Rattus norvegicus: one gene and its partners. The protein of the gene in region 3 interacts with the protein of the main gene of each other region in a pairwise test. Links are inferred from orthologs where the notes say so. Each region holds a gene or a part of one and is shown on either strand. Other genes may lie near its edges.

The links. The genes of interacting proteins can lie anywhere in the genome.
Region 1: the proteins of Ccndbp1 (region 3) and C9h6orf226 interact in binary tests that used the Homo sapiens proteins (3 or more experiments, as listed by UniProt). The two-hybrid records come from large-scale screens. The link is inferred for Rattus norvegicus from reciprocal best matches to the Homo sapiens genes CCNDBP1 and PEX39.
Region 2: the proteins of Ccndbp1 (region 3) and Syf2 interact in binary tests that used the Homo sapiens proteins (3 or more experiments, as listed by UniProt). The link is inferred for Rattus norvegicus from reciprocal best matches to the Homo sapiens genes CCNDBP1 and SYF2.

What each region holds. Positions count from the first base shown.
Region 1 is NC_086027.1:21,702,984-21,709,750, forward strand, and holds C9h6orf226 (uncharacterized protein C6orf226 homolog), read right to left. Parts: upstream 3,760-6,767; 5' UTR 3,378-3,759; coding exon 3,051-3,377; 3' UTR 2,625-3,050; downstream 1-2,624. UniProt on the Homo sapiens protein: May be a peroxin involved in the PTS2-mediated protein import pathway.
Region 2 is NC_086023.1:152,436,735-152,444,401, reverse strand, and holds the start of Syf2 (pre-mRNA-splicing factor SYF2), read right to left. Parts: upstream 4,232-7,667; 5' UTR 4,213-4,231; coding exon 4,189-4,212; intron 4,027-4,188; coding exon 3,922-4,026; intron 1,228-3,921; coding exon 1,102-1,227; intron 542-1,101; coding exon 424-541; intron 1-423. UniProt on the Homo sapiens protein: Involved in pre-mRNA splicing as component of the spliceosome.
Region 3 is NC_086021.1:128,412,895-128,420,543, reverse strand, and holds the start of Ccndbp1 (cyclin-D1-binding protein 1), read right to left. Parts: upstream 4,308-7,649; coding exon 4,208-4,307; intron 4,099-4,207; coding exon 4,039-4,098; intron 3,769-4,038; coding exon 3,689-3,768; intron 2,980-3,688; coding exon 2,898-2,979; intron 1,327-2,897; coding exon 1,230-1,326; intron 1,077-1,229; coding exon 1,003-1,076; intron 1-1,002. Other genes in the region: Tmem62 (transmembrane protein 62 precursor), read right to left, coding at 5,651-5,977. UniProt on the Homo sapiens protein: May negatively regulate cell cycle progression. May act at least in part via inhibition of the cyclin-D1/CDK4 complex, thereby preventing phosphorylation of RB1 and blocking E2F-dependent transcription.

The DNA of each region.
Region 1 (6,767 bases), on a different chromosome or scaffold from region 3:
AAAAACACAAGCATAAATCCATACACTGTGCTTGGAACTCCACAACGGTGACACACACCCTCTTGGCACACGGAAGTCTTTTGTGAGGACAGCCTGTTTTTCTATGCACATTGGTCTGTGAAGTTAGTCTTGTTCTGTGCTACAGGAGGGGACTGAAGTTCAACCACTTGTTTTCAACTACGAAATAGTGTTTAGCTGGGCCTGATGGCACACACCTTTAGTCACAACACTTGAGAGGCAGAGGCAGGCAGATCTCCTGAGTTCAAGGCCAGGCAAGCCTGTTCTACAGAGTTCCAGGATACCCAGGGCTACACACAGAGAAAATATTAAAGACCAACAAAAACCAATGATATGAAAGACTATTGTTTTTAAACTTCCCATACCCAGGAAACGCCCCCTAAACTTCGCCCTTGGCTTAAGGATTCCCGTCTTGCCTTTCCTTAAAACCCACATGAGTCCACATTCCTAACACATGCTTCCCTTGGGCTTGCCTATAACCCTGACTTCATGGGGCCTTGGGATATCAGTGGTAACTGTTGTAGGGCATTGGGAAATGAGGTGACCAAAAATGCATTGCAGTCTTGGAGAAATGAGTCCTGGATCTTACTAAGTTGGGGAGCACTGCAGTGTTGGTGGTGCTTGTCTGCTGTGTAAGAGCCCCTGGATGAGCTGAGCCAAGTCTTCCATTTCTAGTTGCTCAGAGTTTAAAGCAAGGGTTTTTTCTATATAGTAAAAGATGATTTTTAAAATTTATTTTTGTGTGTGAGTATGTGCCATCAGTGTGGGTCCCAAAGTAGCCAGAAACTGTCCCCATGTCTTGGAGCTAGATATACTGACAAGTGAAGGTTCCTGTGGGGGCTGGGGCCAATTCTAGGCCTTCTGCAGAAGCAAGTCCTCTTAGCATGTGCCTTCGGGCCCCAAAGGTAAAGTGGTTTATTCTAAGCTTGGTGATGCCTGCCAGGCGGACCACAAATTCAAAGGTAGCTTGGGTTAAATAGACTGTCAAAAAAACAAGTGGTGTTGCCCCCTAACAATGAGTTGAAACCCCCAAAACAAGACGTTCTGCTGTCCATATTGCTGGTTATCAGCCAGATGTACTAGCTACTTAACTACATGGATAGGCATTCCCGCAGCTAGCATACTGCCTGCCATTTGGGTTTTATAGACTATGGAGAAACAGCCACTGAGCCTGTCTGAAAGACTACAGGGAAGCTTGGTGTGGTGTCAATGTGGAGGCAGACACAGATCCATGTAATAAAGGCCTATCAGACACTGCCCTCAAAATCAGACTTTAGGGGGCCCAAGGTCAGCTCTTGGTTAAAAGCTGTTCACCCAGCCCCAAAGCATCTGACAGGGTTTCACAAGTCTTCTGGGGTAGGGGAGTGGAAGGGCGACTCAGGTTAAGAGCACTGATGCTCCTTCAGAAATCCTGGGTTTAATTCCAAACAATTCTTTTCAGCCTTGGAGATGGCTCAGTGGGTAAGGCATCTGGCCAAACCAGAGCTTAACTGGGATGTCTGGTGCATGATGGGAGGTGAAAGCCTACAAGGGGCACCAATTCTCAGATTGCCTCTGCTCGCACTACCTGACTTAGCTGTTCCAACAATCAGGATTTAAAAGATTTATGTGTAGAAGTACACTGTAGCTGTCCTCAGACACCAGAAGAGGGCATCAGATCCCTCTTACAGCTGGTTGTGAGTTATGTGTTTTGCTGGGAATTTAACTGCAAAAGCAGTCAGTGCTCTTTTTTTTTTTTTTTTTTTTTAAGATTTATTTTATGTAAGTGCACTGTCTCTGTCTTCAGACACACCAGAAGAGGGCATCAGATCTCATTACAGATGGTTGTGAGCCACCATGTGGTTGCTGGGAATCAAACTCAGGACTTCTGGAAGAGCTCTTAACCTCTGAGCCATCTCTCCAGCCCCAGTGCTCTCTTTTTTTTTTTTTTTTTGGTTCTTTTTTTTCGGAGCTGGGGACCGAACCCAGGGCCTTGCGCTTCCTAGGCAAGCGTTCTACCACTGAGCTAAATCCCCAACCCCACTACTAGTTTTTTAATTGGTTATTTTATTTACATTTCAAGTGTTAACCCCTTTCCTGCGCGCACGCGCGCGCGCACACACACACACACACACACACACACACAGCCTCCTAGCTTATGCTCCAACGCCCTGCTCCCATGAGGGTGCTCACCCATCCTCTACACTGCCATTCCTCTACACTGGGGCATCGAGTCTTTACAGGACCAAGGGCTTCTCCCATTGATGCCCAACAAGGCCATCCTCTGCTACATATGCAGCTGGAGCCATGGGTTGCTCCGTGTGTACTCTGGTTGGTCGTTTAGTCCTTGGGAGCGCTGGGGTGTCTAGTTCGTTGGTATTGTTTTTATGGGGTTGCAAATCCCTTCAGCTCCTTCCGTCCTTTAACGACTCCACTGGAGACCCTGTTCTGTCCAATGGTTGCCTGTGAGCATTTGCCTCTGTATTTGTCAGACTCTATCAGGAGATGCAGTCAGTGCTCTTAACCACTGAGCCCTCAACTCCGCCCCCCACCCCACCCCCGCCTCCGTGATACAGGAGTTCTATGCATCATTCCGGGAAGTAACTTTTTCATCAAACCCAAACGACTGCAAAATTAGAAATGCTTTTTATTTTTTTCTTTTCTTTTTTTCGGAGCTGGGGACCGAACCCAGGGCCTTGTGCTTGCTAGGCAAGCACTCTACCACTGAGCTAAATCCCCAACGCTTTTTAGATATGTTTCACTTTATCAGTATTATTAGAATAAGCTGACCCAGGAGGTCGTGCTCTGTTACTGTGACTAGGAAAACTTGTTTCAATTACACAGATGGACTAGAACACAGTATAAAGTTGAAGTTCACCGTCCAAAACCAAGATTACTGGGCAACACTGAATCCCCCATGAATACTGGGTCTGCTTGAGACAGATCGTGGCAGATGCAGAAAGATGAGTAAAGGTGGCATGTGTCCAGACTCTCAAGTTCGTGTAGGATCCTGTCACGCCCTCCGGATCTCAGTTGCGGAAACACCTCGAGCCTCAGGAATCCCTTGGGCCTCCATCGAGTTGGTAGGCTGGGCTGCCCCGGGACGGCTCCTCGATGGTCGGAGGCTGCGTCCTCGAGTCTAGGGCGGCAGTGCAGGATGAGGCGGCCGAGCCCGCGTCTTCCCAGGGCTTGGACTTCCGTGGGAGCAGAGACACCGTGGGTTCACCGTGGGTCGCAGTGATGTGGCGTTTCTCCAGGCCTGGGAGCTCCTGGCCCTTCTGGACCAGATGCAGGAGCTCCGCCAGGGTCACCGAGGCAGGAGCCGGATCCGCAGACGAAAGTGCTCCGCTCCGGCTGCAGACTCCGCCAGGCACGTCCATGTCCTGCCACCAGCTCACCCCCGGAACCGGGCCACAAGCACTTCCGGGTGGCGTGGAAGCAACCACCTTAATGGAATGGGGAGGGGAGGCCTCACACCATATCAAGGAACCTAGCCCAGGGTAGACCCCCAGAACCCGAGCTATTTGTGCAGAAGCTGAAGCCTCCGTTAACCTCCAGGTCTCATTCTGCAACGTGAAATATATTTGGGGTGTGGGGGCAATGAACGAGCCAAAAGGTTTTGCACCCACTGAGACAAGTGTGAGGAGGCGAGGCTGTAAAAAAAGTACCTCCCTTCCGCACTTGCATGCGCACGCAGAATGTGCGCAAGACCGGGAGGGTCTTCTTTGTTTTTGAGATTAAGTTTGGCACTAAAGTCCAGACTGATTGTTCGCTTTCCCCAAGCGTGCCGCTCTTCACATCTGTTAATTGTGGTACTAAGGATCCAGTCCCTGGGCGGAGGTGGGGGAGGGGTGCTGTTGTTTGGGACTTGGTTGTCCGGTTTGGTTTTGAGGCAAGGATTCATCGTCTCCCACAGTGTCTGCCGCGCTACACCTCCCAGCTCGGATGTTCTGATTTCTGAAGTTATCAAAACTAGCCTGAGAAGTGGCCCACGCCTGTAGTACCATATGCTTGGCCCATAGAGCCAGCCTGAGCTACATACTGAAAGATGTAGATATATAATAAATAAGCAGCCTGATCTGGCACACCCCAGGAATCAGAAAAGAACGCATACTCTGCATAATGTTAGAAGCATATAGCACGCTTACCCTTCACTGTAAACAACCCTATGAAACCCAAAAAGGTGGGGTGGGTGAGGTAGCTCAGCAGGTAGGGCTTTTGACCTTTATCCCCACTCCGTTGATGTTTTCAAGGTCTCCTGTAGCCAAAACTGACCTTGTACTCAAAATATAGTGTGTGTGTGTGTGTGTGTGTGTGTGTGTGTGTGTGTGTGTGTGTGTACGTGCACGTGTGCGACTGTGGATCCTTGTCTCTGTGGACTGTGGGCAGGCCTCCACGCCCACCTGGCATTTATCTGGGTTTGTGGGCATTTCGCACTCTGACCCTCACACCTGTGTGGCAGGCGTTTAACTGCTGACCAATCCCAACTCTAGCTTTTTTTTTTTTTTTTTCCTTTTTTTCTTTTTTTTTTTTTTGGAGCTGGGGACCGACCGAACCCAGGGCCTTGCGCTTGCTAGGCAAGCACTCTACCACTGAACTAAATCGCCAACCCCCCAACTCTAGCTTTGAACCTCCCCAGTGCTGGGATTAAAGGGGTGCACCGTCATGTTGTATGGTTCTGGGAATAGAACACAGGAGTTTATATATATTAGCCAAGCCCTCTACTCTATGTCTTGCAGCCCCTCATGGCACCCTCTTCCTCATGTAACGCTGAACCTCTTAGAGTTTTCATATTGCAGAACTGTGAGAAATAATTTCGTTTTTTTTTTTTTCTTTTGGGAACTGAGGATTGAACCCTAGGCCTTGTACTGTAGGCAAGCACTCTATCACTGGGGTATATCCTGAGCACAACTTATTTTCCTCATAAATTAACCTAGTGTGTGCTATTCTGTCATAGCACCATACAATAGCGTGATTTCAATCGCATCCAATTCCCACCTCAGCGCTGTGAAACTCTGAGGGCATATATATGCCCCCTCCCCCCATCTCTCTTCTTTTCTTTTTCTTTTTGAGACAGGGTTTCTCTATTCAACAGCCCCTAGCTGTCCTGGAACCAGTGTGGTTCTGTAAACCACACTGGCCTCGAACTCACAGAGCTCTATCTGCCTCTGCCTCCTGAGTGCTGGGATCAAAGGTGTGCACTGCCACAGCCCGGCTTGTCTTTTTTAATATTTTCCCCTTTAATTTTATTTTATTCTGTGCATCCATGTCTGTGTACTACATGCATGCAGTATTCCCAAAAGCCAGAAGAGGGCAACAGAACCCTTGTTTTTTAGCCATCATGTGGGTGCTGGGAATTGAACTCTTTGGTTTTCTGGAAGGACAGCCAATACTCTTAACCACTGAGCTATCTTTTTATTCCTGGAGGCCATTATTTCGAGTCATCAGTGATCTCTCCTGTAGCCCCTGAAGCTGTCTCTTCATCCTAGCTCATCCAACTTCCTGGACCAGACAAAGTTAGTTCAATGGGCTCCCTAGCTTTGGGGTCTGACCAGGAGGTGGGAGAGGGCAGCAGGAGAAAAGAAGAGAAGGATATGACAGATTTCCTTCTGTTTCCCCTCTTCAAGGTCACATTGGCACAGCCCATCCACGAACACAGCCCTCTGGTTTAAGGTTCTGACACTGCTCCCTTCTCACTCTCTCAGGTGCTGTGTTGCCCCTGGGAACTCCGTTGTCCTTGCCCACATCTCTGTCAATGGACTCTACTAAATTCTCCTCAGATTTTCCAATGCCCTTGTATCACTCTTTCCTGCCCTTCCTCACCAACAACACTAGAAGTGGTTCCTTCCAGGGTGTGTGTGTGTGTGTGTTATGACTGCACCTCCCACATTGTTGAAGGGTATGCATGTGACTGGTATTGTGTGTGAGGAAATCATGAATAGATGAGGTGCATGGTCTTGTTGCTTGTTCTGATGCCCACAGGAGAACACAAAGGGGTCATTAACATCTGACAGAAGGTGTGATGGTTTGTATATGCTTGGCCCAGAGTGGCACTGTTGGGAGGTGTGGCCTCGATGGAGTAGGTGTGGCTTTGTGGGTGTGGGCTTTAATACCCTTGTTCTGGCTGCCTAGGGGCCAGTATTCTGCTAGCAGCCTTAAATGAAGATGTTGAACTCTCGGCTCCTCCTGCACCATTCCTGACTGGACGCTGCCATGTTCCCGACTTGGTGATAATGGACTGAACCTCTGAACCTGTAAACCAGCCCTAAATGTTGTCCTTATAAGAGTTGCCTTGGTCATGGTGTCTGTTCACAGCAGTAAAACCCTAAGACAGAAGGTGAGGGTACACCCAGGGTACCTTGATGGTCGCTTGGATTGGCACCCTGGCAGAAACCTGGCCTTGAGACATCCCTGTAAGGTCACCAGGTTCCAGTACATCAGTCCTTCCTTTCTTCTGACAGGATTTCATTTTTGTAGGCCAGGGCCTTGAACTCACCGCCCATGTGCCTTAGTTGCCCAGCTCTAGCATGAACTCCCACCCCTGGCCTTCCAGATCTTGTCTGCAAAAATCAGAAAGGTGAGAGTTACCGAGTGGACCTTGAGATGGTCAGAGACATCATGTATCTCTGTCTACATAGCTACGATATCCATGTCGATATGTAGATAGAGATGTACTGTGACATAAATGAGGGACCCCCACCTCGACAGGGGGAAAACAAGAACCAACTCAGGGTATACACTGTCCTCCGACTTACACACACACACTGTCC
Region 2 (7,667 bases), on a different chromosome or scaffold from region 3:
CACTATCCTAAGCACAGCCTCTGCCCAACAGGCTGACAAGAGGACGGGCTAATTCTGTCAGGGGTGGTGGCACTATCCTAAGCACAGCCTCTGCCCAACAGGCTGACAAGAGGACGGGCTAATTCTGTCAGGGGTGGTGGCACATCCCTGTGAGCCCCCACTCAGGAGGCAGAGGCAGGAGGGTCCTGAGTCTGCAGACTGCCTGGGCTACAGAATAAGCCTAAGGAACAAAATGGCTGCAACAGCAAAGGCTAACTTTACACTAAGGGCCAACACAGCCAGCAGATTGACAGGAAGCCCCGGGTTCTCCTTGGCCTCCAAGAATATTCCATGAAGGTCAGTGGGCATGCGCTCTCACTAAAGCAGAAGCCTTGGTCCAACAGGCCCACACAGTAAAGCAGAGGTCAGCCAGGCCAGCTGTACCTGAAAACCCCAAGTCAGGGTTCTTCTTCTTCTTCCTCCTCTCCCACCTCTCAGCGTCCTCCGCACTGATCTCCAGCAGTTTCACCTTCTCGTAGTCTTCCCCTCGAGCTGCACACTCCTGAAAGGACAGGCAGCGCTACCCACCGCACCACCCACCCTGCCACACAGCATGCATTCCCACTTTTTGTTTTTTTTGAGCTGACCTCAAACTCAAAGCAATTCTCCCACCTCAGCTTCCCAAGTGCTGGAACTGTAGGTGTGACACACCACGCTTACCCATCTGACCTTTCTTAAATGAACAAAGACTCTATCAAAGTGTCAAGTAAGGCCATCAAGGTAGCTCAAGGGATACAGGTGTTTGCTGCCAAGCACCTGAGTGCTCTTATCAGGAGGCACATGGTGGAGGAGAACTGACCCTCTAGGTTGTCCTCTGACCTCCACTCTTGTGCCCACACACATACAAAATAAAAATGTAATAAAATCAACAGAACCGAGCAGGAGTCCTTTTTAAATGCTTTGCAGATGTTAATTCACAGAACCCCTAGTTCATTCAAGTAGCCATTATGGTGCTTGTCCTACAGACAAGCAGAGAAAGGTTCCCTTAGGTAAGTGGCCTCTCCACCTACTCAGCTACCAGCTCTCCTGTCTCAGTGAAGGGAGGGGCAGAGGCTTCCAAACCTTCTTCTTTTCTTCTTCCTGGAGTTCCCACTCCAGACGTGCTTTCTTGGCTTCCCAGTTAGCAGGCAGCTTAAGTCTTTTGTCTTCTTCCACAACTTCCTGGTGATTTAACTTACGAGCTTCATTCTAAAACCGTAAGAGAACAGGCCATCTGATAAAGCAGGAGAAGGACCCTGTCTTATTTGCAGTGACTAAGGGACCCCACTTACCCTGCAGGCAGTAAAGCCCAGCAAGTGAGCTAAACTAAGCAGGGAACCGACTGAGGTTTAAAAGAGAATGAAAAAAAAAAAAAAGAGAATGAGATGCTGTGCTGCTGAGCTGGTGTTCAGAGTCCCAGGGCTACGTCACCCCTGCCCATTCGGTTGGGTGGTCCCTTGCATAAAGGGTTCAGAATAAAGGTTGTCAAAGCGCCCTCACTGCACCCCACCATGGTACAGTAGCAATCACAGATTTTTATGAGTGTATTTTGTTCCTGTAGTGTTTTTGTGCCTCGTAGTTTCTGTGCAGGTCAGAGGTCAGCTCCCAGGCCACAGCTCTCTTCTTCCACCATGTGGGTTCTGGGGACCAAACTTAGGTCCTCAGTCTTCTCACAGCAAGTGCTATCTATCCACTCACTGAGCATCATCTCACCAGCCTGAAAGACGGTCTCCTTTTAACACAGTTTAAAAAAACCCAAAAACCAAAAACCTCAGTTTGGATTTGGAGTGCTTTCATGCCTGTTAATCTCTAAACTGTTACTCCAGGACAAGGGAAAGGAAGGGACATCCACCCAGGAAGTAAAGAGCTCTCAATCAGATAAACATTAATGCTGTAAAATTAGCATAATGTACTCTAGGCTAGCCTCAATCTCCATCTCCCTATGTAGTCAAGAAGTCTATAAACTTGCCAAGCCAGAAATGGCAACTTTAAGCCCGAGAGCACGTTAGGTTAAATAGAATGTAGGCAGGCCACGGACTGATGATGTCTGATCAGGAAGACGAGCTCCAAAGCTCCAGGCACACGGTCTGCAAACATTCCCTTTATAAGCAACATCTAAGCACATGACTTACTACGTTAACTTTTTCTAGAAAAATACTTGTGGGATTGGTTTTTTGCGTAGCATGTGAAGACTGGCTTTGAATATTTCTTTACTGTGTGTTGTGGATGTTCACATGTGCATGGACACACGTGTGCAGTGTACATGCATGTGAAGGCTAAGACATGTTGGGTGTATTGCTCAATTGATCTCTTCCTTAGATATTGAGGCAAAGATGGTCACTTGAACTCAGAACTCAGTGTTTTGCTAGTCTGGCTGATTGCTCAGCTTGCTCCAGAGATCCTGTCTCTGCCTCCACAGTGCTAGGATTAGAGGCAGGCACCACGCCCACCCAGCATGTATGTGGGTTCTTGGTGTCTTTTGCAGCAAGTGCTTGACCCACTGGTCTATCCCCAGCAGATAGAACAGCGGTTCTCAACCTGTGGGCTGTGACCCCCACAAGGGTCACACATCAGATATCCTACATACCAGATATTTACAACAGCAAAGCATGAAGAAGGTTGAGAACCACTGTTTACAATGTAAATTTTCAGAGATGTGCTGGTTCATTTGTTTGTTTTGTTTTATATTCTTGGAGGCTCAAAGGCCATTTTAAAAAAAAAAATTAGTTCTGGGGACTGGAGAGATGGCTCAGTGGTTAGGAGCACTAACTGCTCTTCCAAAGGTCCTGAGTTCAATTCCCACCAACCACATGGTGGCTCACAACCATCTATCTGTAATGAGATCTGATGCCCTCTTCTGGTGTGTCTGGAGACAGCTACAGTGTACTCATATATAATAAATAAATCTTTTTTTTAAAAAAAAGCTCTTTTGAGCTAGCAAAATGGTTCAATAGTTAAGGGTGACTGCCACATAGCCAGATGACTTCAATCCCCGGAACCCACATTACAGAAGGAGAAAACCAATTTACTCCTGTTGTCCTCTGCCATCTACATACACTCCATGACACCTGAGCACATATACATAGAAAAACAAATACATCTTATTTGTGTGTGCACGTGCATGCCTCAGCCTAGTGGAGAGCTCTGTGGATAACCCTGCGAAGTCAGTTGTCTCCTTCCACTTTGACCTGAGTTTCAGGGATCCCACTCAGGTGGTCAGGCTTGTACCAGGGCTCTAAACACTGAGTCATCTCGACAACCCAAGAAAAACTTTATTCAAGTTTTTCAAGACAAGTTCAAGACAAAAAGCAAGTGAAGAGGGCTGGGAATCTTGGCAGGAGCTAGAAGGGAGACACTGAGAAAATACAGCCATGCCTTATCAATTACATTACAAGAAAAACAAGCAGGTTCAGCAAAAGGGTCAAATGGGCAAGTTGTCACATGGGGAAGGAAGGGAGAGGAAGCTGTCTTCACATAAAGAATGTCAATGTCCAGAGTGTCTGGGCAGCCATGCTTTGGATTTGAGTGGGTATCCAAACAAGGAACGGAAAATAAGTTATTGAGTCTGAACTCAGGAAAGAGGGAAAGTGTGTGCTCACTCTTTTTAAGGTGAGAAAGGTCTTACTAAGAATAAGAAGTTCCTTCCTGTTTCTAACTAAATATTTACCTAGATGAAAAGGAAGCATCATGGAACAAGAGGGAACACCTAACCTGACATACACCCAGTCTTGTGGGTGGGACCGGGTAGAGCAAGCGGGTGTGGCTTTTGACCTGTGTCAAAGAGATCTCAACCTGAGTCCTGACCATCTGGAGATCTGGTCCCGGGAACGCCCCGTTCTGAGATCTGGGGCGCCTTCCTCCTCCAGCCCCGCGCCCGGCCTGGCCCGTGTCCCCGCCACTCACCCGCTTCAGATGCAGCTCACGGAACTTGCGCAGTCTCTGCTCTCGCTTCTGCGCCGCCAGCTCCTCGGCCGCCAAGGGCCTGGCTTCCGCGCCGTCCGCGGGTACCTGCGGTCATACCCGGCTTCAGGCTCGACGTCCCCCGACAGCCACGCCTCGGGCCTGGGCCCGACACCCCGGCCTCCCCGGTAGCCGCACCGGGATTCGCCCCATGTCTCCCCGCCCCGGCGTCTCCCAGACTAACACCTACGCGAAGCCGGAGGTACTCACCACAACTTCAGTCACAGCCGCCATTACAGCCTCCTCCACTTCCGTCAACAACACTGAACACTTCCGGCGGCCTCTGGCCCGCTGCCATTAGTCAGGCCCTCCCGCGTGGCGTCAGTTTCTTCCCGCCTGTCACGCTCCTTTAAGTGAGTGGGGCTACCGCGAGGTGTGGCCATGCGCAGGCGCAAATAACCCGGGACGGGGGCGGGGCGACAAGGGTGAGGAAGTGCTCAGAACCTGTCACTTAGAATGGAATGGCTGATTGGCGACTGAGTATCCTGTCACCAGCTCTAAAAAAACCTTGTCTCTCTTGAGTTTCAATCGCATTAAGTCCCTTCCATAGAGTAGATAATTTTCTGATGTTACTAACTGCAGAAGAACAGGGCCAGCTCCATATTGTTCACTCTCATATTCCAGTACTACAGTAACTACTGACGTCACTAAGATAACTCAGGAATTGGACAGGGATATATGAAATGAAACGTGTTCTGTTCTAAGTCGACAACTAATTAGATGTAGAAATGAAAAAGCCATCCCCCGATTGTAAAAATGTCTGGGTACAAATCAGTTGTGGTGGCATGCTCTTAGCATCCCAGCTGGTAGAGGCAGGAGAATACCAACTATGAGGCTTGCCAAGGCTACACAGTGACTTCTAGACTAGCCAGTGCTATAAGAACGACCCTTTATTTCGTGGGATATCTAAATTAAAAGCTTAAACGCTGACAAGAAAAATGCAAATTACGGGCAACTCTTTTGAGTCCGCCTCCCCTATAGGGAGCTACTTTTCAAGCTCAGTAAAACTTGGCTTGCCCTTCAAAAACAAGTTTTAAAAAATTAGGGGGTTGGGGATTTAGCTCAGTGGTAGAGCGCTTGCCTAGCAAGCGCAAGGCCCTGGGTTCAGTCCCCAGCTCCGAAAAAAAAAAAAAAAGAAAGAAAGAAAGAAATAAAAGAAAAGAAAAAAAATTAAAGCCCCACGAAATATTTAAGTTAAACGCAAGCTACCATAGGAAAGTCTCAGCTCAGGATCCCCCAAGACCAAGTTCTTAGCATAAAGGAGATTTATTTGTCCTAAAAGGACAGAGGGCAGGGATGGGTGACAAAAGACAGGACAAGTAGGAGACAAGAAAGGGTACAAAGAGGAGAAAGGCAAGGGAGAAGGGTAAGAGATTATTTGTCCTGGTGAGGACAGGGGAGGGATTAAATGGTGATTTATAAAGGGGGAAGTCCCCTGTTAGGATGAAGTCTTTCATTTTAATTGGGCATGTTAATTAGGGTAGCCAAAGGAGGCTTTTGATTGCTGTACTAAGATTTTGATAACTGGACTGTGGTGGTCAGCCTCAGGAAGAGGAAGTGGCCATGTAGTAGACCTTGATGGCCAGTTTGAGAAATGTAATCTAATGTTTTTATGCAAGACAGTGAGAATGGGGAGGACAAGGCTTGCCACAGCCATGTTCACCATACTAGAGCTGGCCAGAGTTCCTTCAAATGGGGCATGGTGGCTCTCACCTTTAAATCCTGCGAGTTACAGCTCAGTCGGTTCTACCCAGTGAGTTCTAGGCCAAGTGACACATTGAGACTATGTCTCAAAAATAAAAGCAGTTGGGCAATGGTGGCACATGCCTTTAATCCTCGCACTCGGAAGGCAAAGGCAAGATGATCTCTGAGGTCAAGGCCAGCCTGGTCTACAAAGTGAGTTCTAGGACACAGCTACACAGAAAAACCCTGTCTCTGGAAAAAAGGGAATGAGTTACTTGGCTAGAACTGGTGCGTGTGAGTTGAGTCTAAGTAGCACAGAAAATCCCCACAAATGACTGGGAAGGCTATACGTGCCTCTAAGTGAGGAAGTCACAGCCTAATTTTTGTACGTATGGGTGTTTTGCCGGAATATGTATATGCCCCACCTGCATTGCAGCCTGGTGCCCTGAGAGGTCAGATGAGGGTGTTGGATCCCCTGAAACTAGTTATGGTGGTCCTGAGCCACCAAGTAGGCTCTGGGAATGGAACCATCTTGCTTTCGAAACAGCCCATCAGCCAGTGCCCCAAAACTTATTTTACTCATGTGTCTGTGTCTTGTGCATTTCAATGCAGCGGCCAGACCTTGAATCTCCTAGTACTAAAATCTCAGGCAGTTGGTAAACACGGTGTGTCAGGAGCCAGACTTGGAGCCTCTTACAAGAGCAGCCCATGCTTGGCCACTGAGCTATCTCCAACCCTATGACTATCTTATGTCTGTATTGTAATCTCTATAGTTGTATTTTATATGTAAACTAGCATATACTGAATGTACCTTTATTGACAAACCTGCCACCATCTTTAGTTGCCATGTCATTCACTCAATCAACGTTCTTTTGGTATCTTTGTTTCTGAAGTCTCACTATATAGTCCTGTCTGTCCTGAACTGAAGATCTTGGCCTTGAGCTCAAAGATCCTCCTCCCTCTGCTGGGATTAAATATCTGTGCCCTCATTAGCCTCAGCTAATCATTTTCTGATCCTGCCTGCCTGCCACCTCCTGAGTTCTGGGATAATAGACCTGTACCCCCACACATGCTCTATACCTTGTTGGATATTTACCAACTAGACTACATCTCCAATTCATTTGTTCCTTTAAAAAACAAAATCTCAGGGTTGGGGATTTAGCTCAGTGGTAGAGCACTTGCCTAGCAAGCACAAGGCCCTGGGTTCGGTCCTCAGCTCTGGAAAAAAAAAAAAAAAATCTCATCTGGTACTGTAAACAAAGGGTCTGAAGGTACCTGGAAGAGAATGGGGGACAAGGGACACGAAGAAGGATGCCAAGACAAGAGTCTGATCAAGGCGACAACTTTATTTTTTCGCAAGGCTGAATTTATACCATAACATGGGTAACAGAGAGAGGGGGGAAGTAAGAAACATTTACGAAGGCCAAGGACACAATATTCATGTGGTCAGGGAGTAGACTGATGTTGACAGGTTGTCAGAAAGGTCACAGGTTTGTCATATCTATTAGTCAGCAGGATGTTGGTTTTTCAGAAAGGTTACAGGTCATCACATTGGGTATCTTTATCATATGATTATTATTCTTGACCACCAGATTTGTATTAGTCTTCTGCACCTGGCTGGGGATTTTCCATGAACCTAGTCATACTTAATTCTAACGTCAACAATGGAGGGCTTCAAGGGCATCGCTCCCAACATGGTACTGTGGTCCACTCATTTAATACCAGAACCTGAGGGGTTAGAGGCAAGCCTGGACATCCAAGGCTGTACAGGAAACCTCTTGTCTCATTAACCTAGATGTGAAACTCACTGGGTAGCAACAGGTTCTATTCACTGCTACCTAAAAGTGGGTAAAGAAAACTACTGTGGCCAGGAATACACATCTATATCACTAGATATTTAAACTTCCATTTTTTCAAGGATGATGTCCAATTGCATGCCAGTGATTAAGAACATTCTTGCTACCCATACTTTTTGAAAGGGTGGTCTTCTGACCCAGACATGGTGG
Region 3 (7,649 bases):
CCTTTCAGTGTTCCCCAATGCTGTTCCTTTCAGTGTTCCCCAATGCTGTTCCTTTCAGTGTGCTCCCCAATGCTGCTCCTTTCAGTGCTCCCCAATGCTGTTCCTTTCAGCGCTCCCCAATGCTGTTCCTTTCAGTGTTCCCCAATGCTGTTCCTTTCAGCGTGCTCCCCAATGCTGTTCCTTTCAGCGTGTTCCCCAATGCTGTTCCTTTCAGTGTTCCCCAATGCTGTTCCTTTCAGCGTGTTCCCCAATGCTGTTCCTTTCAGCGTGTTCCCCAATGCTGTTCCTTTCAGCGTGTTCCCCAATGCTGTTCCTTTCAGCGTGTTCCCCAATGCTGTTCCTTTCAGCGTGCTCCCCAATGCTGTTCCTTTCAGCGTTCCCCAATGCTGTTCCTTTCAGCGTGTTCCCCAATGCTGTTCCTTTCAGCGTGTTCCCCAATGCTGTTCCTTTCAGCGTGTTCCCCAATGCTGTTCCTTTCAGCGTGCTCCCCAATGCTGTTCCTTTCAGTGTTCCCCAATGCTGTTCCTGGGACAGGAATAGGAGAGCAAACTATCTAACTAGAGACAGAGCCACAGCAAGAGGAAGAGTCTGAATTTAAGAGTTGTGCTCCCAGTGGAAGGGGAAGCCCTGGGTCCTGCCAAGACTGAACCCCCAGTGAACGTGATTGTTGGGGAGAGGGCAGTAATGGGGGGAGGATGGGGAGGGGAACACCCATAGAGAAGGGGAAGGGGAGGGGCTAGGGGGATGTTGGCCCGGAAACTGGGAAGAGTTGTACTCAGAGGTACAGGGCTTGGCTGGCATGCCCTGGGCTCAATCCCCAGCACTGCCAAAACCAAACCAAAAACCCAGTATGAAGAATGGCAAAAAGTATTGAATCAATTAATATTAATGGAAATAAACTATATATTATTTCACTAGCGTCTTCATAGAAATTAAAATACATGCATAAAGCGATGCTGGAAGCTAGACCAGAGAGGCAGGTAATAGTTTACTTCTACCCACCTTTTGGGATCTCAGCCACCTGTTGGCATGCAACTGAGACACTATTGCAGGAAATCAGGTCACCATTCTCAGGGCTGGAGAAAGGAATTAACAAGGTCATATCAATAACCTAGGTTTCTGTCTCCCAATAACATCCACTATGAGTGACTTTGCTGTTGGAGTGAATTTCCCCTCCCTGAGTCAAGGAACCCCCACTAACCGTTAGCCCACACGGCCACACCCACTACCTCTGAGATGGAGCAGCAAGGAGCGCATCCAGGAGCTGAGCCGTGCCATCCACGATGTCCAGGACAGCATTTCGTACCAGCTTTCTCAGGGTGATTCCTATGGCCAAACCCAAACAGTAAGCTGTCTGGCCATGTCAAATGTCACCACCTGCTTTCTGCAGTCTTAGTGTACCAGACCCATGAGGTAACTGATACCCACGCTTACATCCCCCATCAGAGCGGGGCTCCAGCCTTACTTAAATTCTCAGGCATTTTATTGCCCCTCTTGCCACTCCCAAGAGCTGCTCTCCAACAGTTTTGGAAACAAGTCTTTCCAATTGTATTCATTCATGAAGGACACTGCCCTTAGATAAGTGTGAGCAAAACACTGGGAGTTTAAAACATGCGTAAGTAGCCCTGATGAACTATGGTACGTTCTCATTCATTTTCTCTGTAGAGCTTCAATGAAGGTATAAATCTACAGGTTGGTGTACTTTAACTTGTGAAGGGGTTTGCAAATAGGTCCTGGTGTAATGGAGGAGGAGGAGGAGGGTTGGGATGGCCTGGTCATGGGTATGGAGCTGAGATCCAGCAAGCATATATAGCAGTTAGAATGGACTGAAAAGGGATTAGGAGCCGAGAAGACAAGATATTTTTGAAAGTGCCAGTTACATAACCATGATGTCTTGAGTTCAATTCCCAAGACCTACACACTGGAGAAAGGCAGACACACTGGAGTGTACCCATAATGCCAGTGCTGGGGAAGCAGAGGTAGGAGGCTCCCCTAGGGAATCCGTGAACTCCAGGGAAGACTCTCTCATGATCATGTGGAGATACTGGCTTCCACATGTACTCGTATACACATGCATAAGCACCTGAGTAAACACATGCACCCACGTGTGCACATACATACACAGACACAGATAATGAACAATTTTTATAAAGGACCAATTGAGGGGCTGAGGATAAGGCTTGGCAGTTAAGAGCACTCAGTGCTCTTCCAGAGGACCCAGGAACAACCAATAACCATAACCCATAACCCATAACCCATACGGCAGATCACACTGTCTATAACTTCAGTTCCAGGGGAACCAACAACCTCTTCTGACCTCAGCAGGAACCAGACATACATGTGGTACACAGACACACATGCAGACAAAGCACCCGTACCCATAACATAAAATAAAGAATGTAATGTCCAGTTAAGATGGCTCCGCAGGTGAGGACTCGCTGTGCAAGCCTGAAGATCTGAGTTGGATCCCAGGAACCCACAATGGAGGGAGAGAGCCCATTCCCCATGTGTGTGCCTACACACACACACACACACACACACACACACACACACACACACACACTTTTTAAAGAATTAGGTAGGGCAGTAATGATAGGGAAATCACAGTTACATAGCATCTGTACCTTCACATAATGGACTCACTCACTTCCCATATGGAGTGACACAGGTCACTCACATATAAAATTATCTTTGACTTTATTTCACAGGAAAGTCACATGCTCAAAAATGAAGAAAAATAGACATGTATAATGTGTTTACATATAAATATATAATATTACATTGAAGATAAACACATAATGTTTACATGTTTCATGCTTACATATTAGGACACAGTCTACTCCCTTAGCAAAGGTCTAGCCTGTACATCCAACACTACTGTGTATACAGTGACTTACCCTGATCCTTAGGAAATGTGTAGTATGCTGCAATTACTTCCTCAGTGGCAATGTGGACTTGCTCACAGATCCTCTGGGTTTCCTACGAGGTGAAATTCAGAATGAATGGTCAACATTAATGCTGCCAACCCATTTACTAAGGAAGAGATCAGACATCCATAAGCATGATTAAATGTTTTATGAAAACCTGTCATGAGTCAGGCCTTATGATGTACTCTTCCCACAATATAAAGAAATTAGGTAGATACCGGACAATTCTAAAAAGCATTACAAAAGGAAGGGCAGCCTTGGCTATCCTGGAACTGGCTCTGTAGACTAAGCTGGTCTCGAACTCAAGAGAGCAGCCAGCCTCTGCCTCCCAAATGCTGGGATTAAAGGTGTGCAGCAGCAGCAGCAGCAGCAGCAAACTTCTCACTAAAGGGTTTTGTATATAGCAGGTGTTGTTAGATAGTGTGAAGGCATTTAACTTCTCCTCCACTATTTATTGAACCAAGCCTCTAAACAGGCTTACTCATCTGTCAGATAGAGAATATGTATGTGAAACAGCTGTAAATCAACAAGGGCTTTAAAAATTATTAGGAACTAACCCGGCTGAGTTTCAGACTAAATTTAGAAGGTCTTTCTACCCTATGCACTTGGCAATTTGGCCTTTACAACAATCCCATGCGGTGAGAACTGTAATCTCGCTTGATAAATGGGGGAAGTAAGTGTGGCTTGAATGCAAAAGATAAGAAAACTAGAGGATTCTTAAGGAGACAGCACAAAAAAAAAACTCCGGAAGTAAAGCTCACCTGTGGAGATGGCGATGGAATTTTAGAGAAGAGTGTGGTCAGAACAGTGGCTTCCCCAGACACTTTCATTGCTGCTTCATCTGGGGGTGTCAGAGGCAGCGGGTGCCAAAGTTAGTGTTAAAAGGTTAAAGTTGCCACTTGGACTTTTTAGATAACGGGTCCCTTCTCCACCCTTACCAACACTCCAAAACAACTCCAGAAATGGTTTTATATTTCAGCCTCAAGTGCGGAGAATGGGTAGCAGAAGGGATGAGGACTGGGAGGAATTGTCATCTCAGGGGACAGCAGAAGGAAAAGAGGGTAGGATGCAGGGAGATGGAGGAAGAGTCCGCAACGGCAAAGACACTCACTGAGTCTTCTCCAAAACATCTCTCGATTAAATTCCTCGGCTGTCTCCTGGGCTTCGCCGACTTGAGGAAGGCCGGACCACCCGGGAAGCAAAAGACATGTGAGAGGAGCCCTGACCTGACGCCCGACCTCCCTACCCGGAGCCTGGGGTTGCAGATTCCCACAACTCACCCCGTACTCGAGGCAGAAGCGACCGCAGCTCCTCTGCTAAGTGCCGGAGCTGCTCTAGAGGAGGAGCAAGGAACGAGACTGGGGTTGTCGAGCTCGCCATCGCAGCCTCTCTTCGGGAACTAACCCAGACACTTAAGCCATTTGACCCCGCCCCCAGTACTTCCGGTGCTGAAGAACTCATCTCGTTTCCGGCAACACACATCGCGTCCCGCCCCTTCCTCCCCAATGTAGTGAGTCCGCCTTCCCAGGCAGCCTGGCCATCAGTCCACGCCTCCGCCCGCTTAGAGACCCGCCTACCCGAATCCAGCCCATCCAGAAACCTGCCCACGCCCCGCTGGCCGGGCCTAAAGACCCAGCCACGCCTCCTTCACCTGCCCTTGCAAATCTAGAGACTTGTTCAAGTGCTTGTCCCTGACTACCCCCACTACCCCTCCCTCCGTGACACTAGGCCACTCCTTACAGGAAGACCCAGTTAGGCATCTTCTGACCTATTAGAGATTCTTTTAAGTAACGGAGCCTTTTCCCTGCAAAGATGTATGTGGCAGTGCCTGCAGAGGCCAGAGAGGGCATCAGATCACAAGGCCGGGAGTTACACCATGTGGGTTAAGGGAATCGAACCTGTGATCTTTGGAAGAGCAACCAGCACTTTTAACTGCTGACTCCAGCTTCGGTGACTGTTTCTCCTACCCCCAAACACCAGGCCCACTTTCTGGTTCCCATAGGTTTATCAACATTGCAGATCCGTTTGTGATATTTCTTTGTTAATACTTATCTTTTATTATTTTTTTAAATTACGTGTAAGTCTGTGCACATATAAATGTAGGTGTCCACAGTGGCTCTGGCCTGGAACTAGAGTTACAGGCAGTTGTGAGCATCTGACATGGTTGCTAGGAATTGAACTCAGGTCTTCTGGAGGTAAAGTACATGCTCTTAACCACTGATCTCTCCAACCCAATGTTTGTGGTTATCATTCATTCATTTATTAGTTGAAAACAGCTTTGACTAAGGAAGCAGGAAGCCCATAATTCTTGGGAAAACAGGCTTGGAAGTCAAGTCTCAGGAGCGGTAAAGGCCCACTTTCCACAGGTTCCCTAGGCATAAAATGGCATCCTGAATTCCAAGTTTGGGCTGGATGCTTTTCACAGGATGACCCTTAATAAATACAGCAGTGCTGAGGGACTCAGTGACACAGAGACCCCACCCTGGCAATCTCCTTGATTAGGGCTCTTTGCCTCTGAAGAAGAGTCATTCGTTAGACTTTTCTGCAGTCCACACAGCAGGAATCAGTAGTAAACACTTCCAACATTCAGACGTCCAAGGAATGACAGCTTCCTGAAGCTCACCCACTGATACTGGCTTTCCCATCTGCCACTGGGGCAGAGATCTGGGCCACAAATGTGGAGGCTGGACTTCTTCCAGGCCGCTAGCGGTAAGCCATGGACTTCAGGAGCTCAGATGACTTTTTAACTGCACCATGAATATTCCAAGTTCAGTGGAGTTCAGTGTCCACACACGATAAACGAGTACAGGTGTCAGCAATGTCAACCAGGTCCTCAATGGGGAGAGTAGAAAGGCGAGGGAGCCATACGTCACATGAAGGAAGTAGCAAGAATAAACCTGCCACGTGTACAGTAGAAGCATAAGCAGGTGAACAGGAATAATCTGCACGTATCTTCCCTGGAGGAGATGAGACCTGAAGTTGTGACCAAAGCAGCGCTGTAGCAGACTCCAGCATGTGTAAGCCGTCAAGGGGATGTTAAAGAACACCAGCTAGAAAAAGAAGGCAGAGCCATCAACCCACCACATCACTAGTAACTTCTACTAATATGGCTTTAGATTGTTTTCTCTTGGAGGTCGGGGATGGGGATACAACTCAGGGATTTGCATGTAGGGATTTGCATACAGGGATTTGCACACAGAGATTTGCATACAGGGATTTGCAAGCACTCTTGAGCTATGTTCCAGCTCTTATATGTCTTTTTTTTTTTTTTAAAGACAAAGTTTCTGTCTGGCTATCTCAGGATTAGCTCTGTAGACCAGGCTGGTGTCGAACTCAGAGATCCACTGTCTCTGGCTCCTGAGTCCTGGGACAAAAGGCTTGCACCACCATACCCAGCATATGTCTGATTTTTAATGCATTGATCATACCTGTTAGTAAGAGAACAGTTGACCTATAGTTAACTGTGTATTTGCCTGTCCTTTCATCTATCCTAAAGGTAGGCATCACTTATTGAAGTCCCTATTATAACACAGATGTATACTTCAGATACCAAGAGTAGATACACAACCATGTTTACATTGGAAATGAACTGAGTAATCTGCATAGGCACACACCAGAGATAGATTCTATGTTGATGAGTGAAAGGAGGATGTAGGTATCAGTATTGAGATAACATCTGAGTACTGACATATACATTGGATATAGGTATAACCAGATGTAGTTGTGTGGTTCATTCAACAAATATTCATAAAGCGCCCATTACACAGCAGGCCCTGTGCTAGGCTCTAGGTCAGAGGCACATTGATGAACAAGTAACAAAATAAAAGGGGGTGGGGTGGGCAGCAGGCTAGGGAGGAGAGATTAAAGTCCTTTTACAGAGGACCCAAGTTTGAGTCCCAGCACCCACATGAACCCTGATAACTGTCTGTAAACTTCAAAACAGGGGTTTTAAAGCCCTCTTCTGGTCTCCCAGGGAACTGTAGGCACACGACACAGAGATATACATACAGTAAAACACTGATGCACATAAAACAAACATTAAAAAGGGATCCCTTAAAGACAGATATGCATACATATATATCACAGACAAACATGCAAGTACAAGAAACATAATTACAGGTTGTGATAAGTTCAATGAAGGGAGTAATTGGCTCATGAAAGGGTGGCTGGGAGACAGACTCTTTGACCATGAAGGGCAGCAATGAGTCAGCTGAGGGAAGAACATTCTGAGAATAAGAAACAAAAGTCCAGGATTGGGAGACATCTTAGGCTCTGTAAGGCAATACTTTGTGACCACTAAACCGGGTGGAAATTGGAGACAGCGCCACAAGAGTGTAAATAAGTTGTGTGTTCATTTTAAAGGAATTAAATATAAACTACTTTATCAGTGTTTCCCAAACAAGAACACTGAAGGGGGACGTCCCACAGTGTGGTACAGAGACCCAGTGCCACCTTTTAACATGTTCGCTGCTAAGACAGCCCAGGGAAGCCCACCTCTACTTTGAACATTGGCATTTTCCTTGGATAACTCACTCTCTTTATGGGTCTATTTTTTCTTCTTGACCCTCTGAAACACTTTTCCTCACTATAATCAGTTTTTTTAACTTGGCAATGTAAAATTCATTCTACTATAAAACTCTTACTTCATTTTCATCAGTAAAGGAGTATGATAAAACTGGGCATAGAAGCACATGGAGGCATGTGGATCTTGGTGACTTTGAG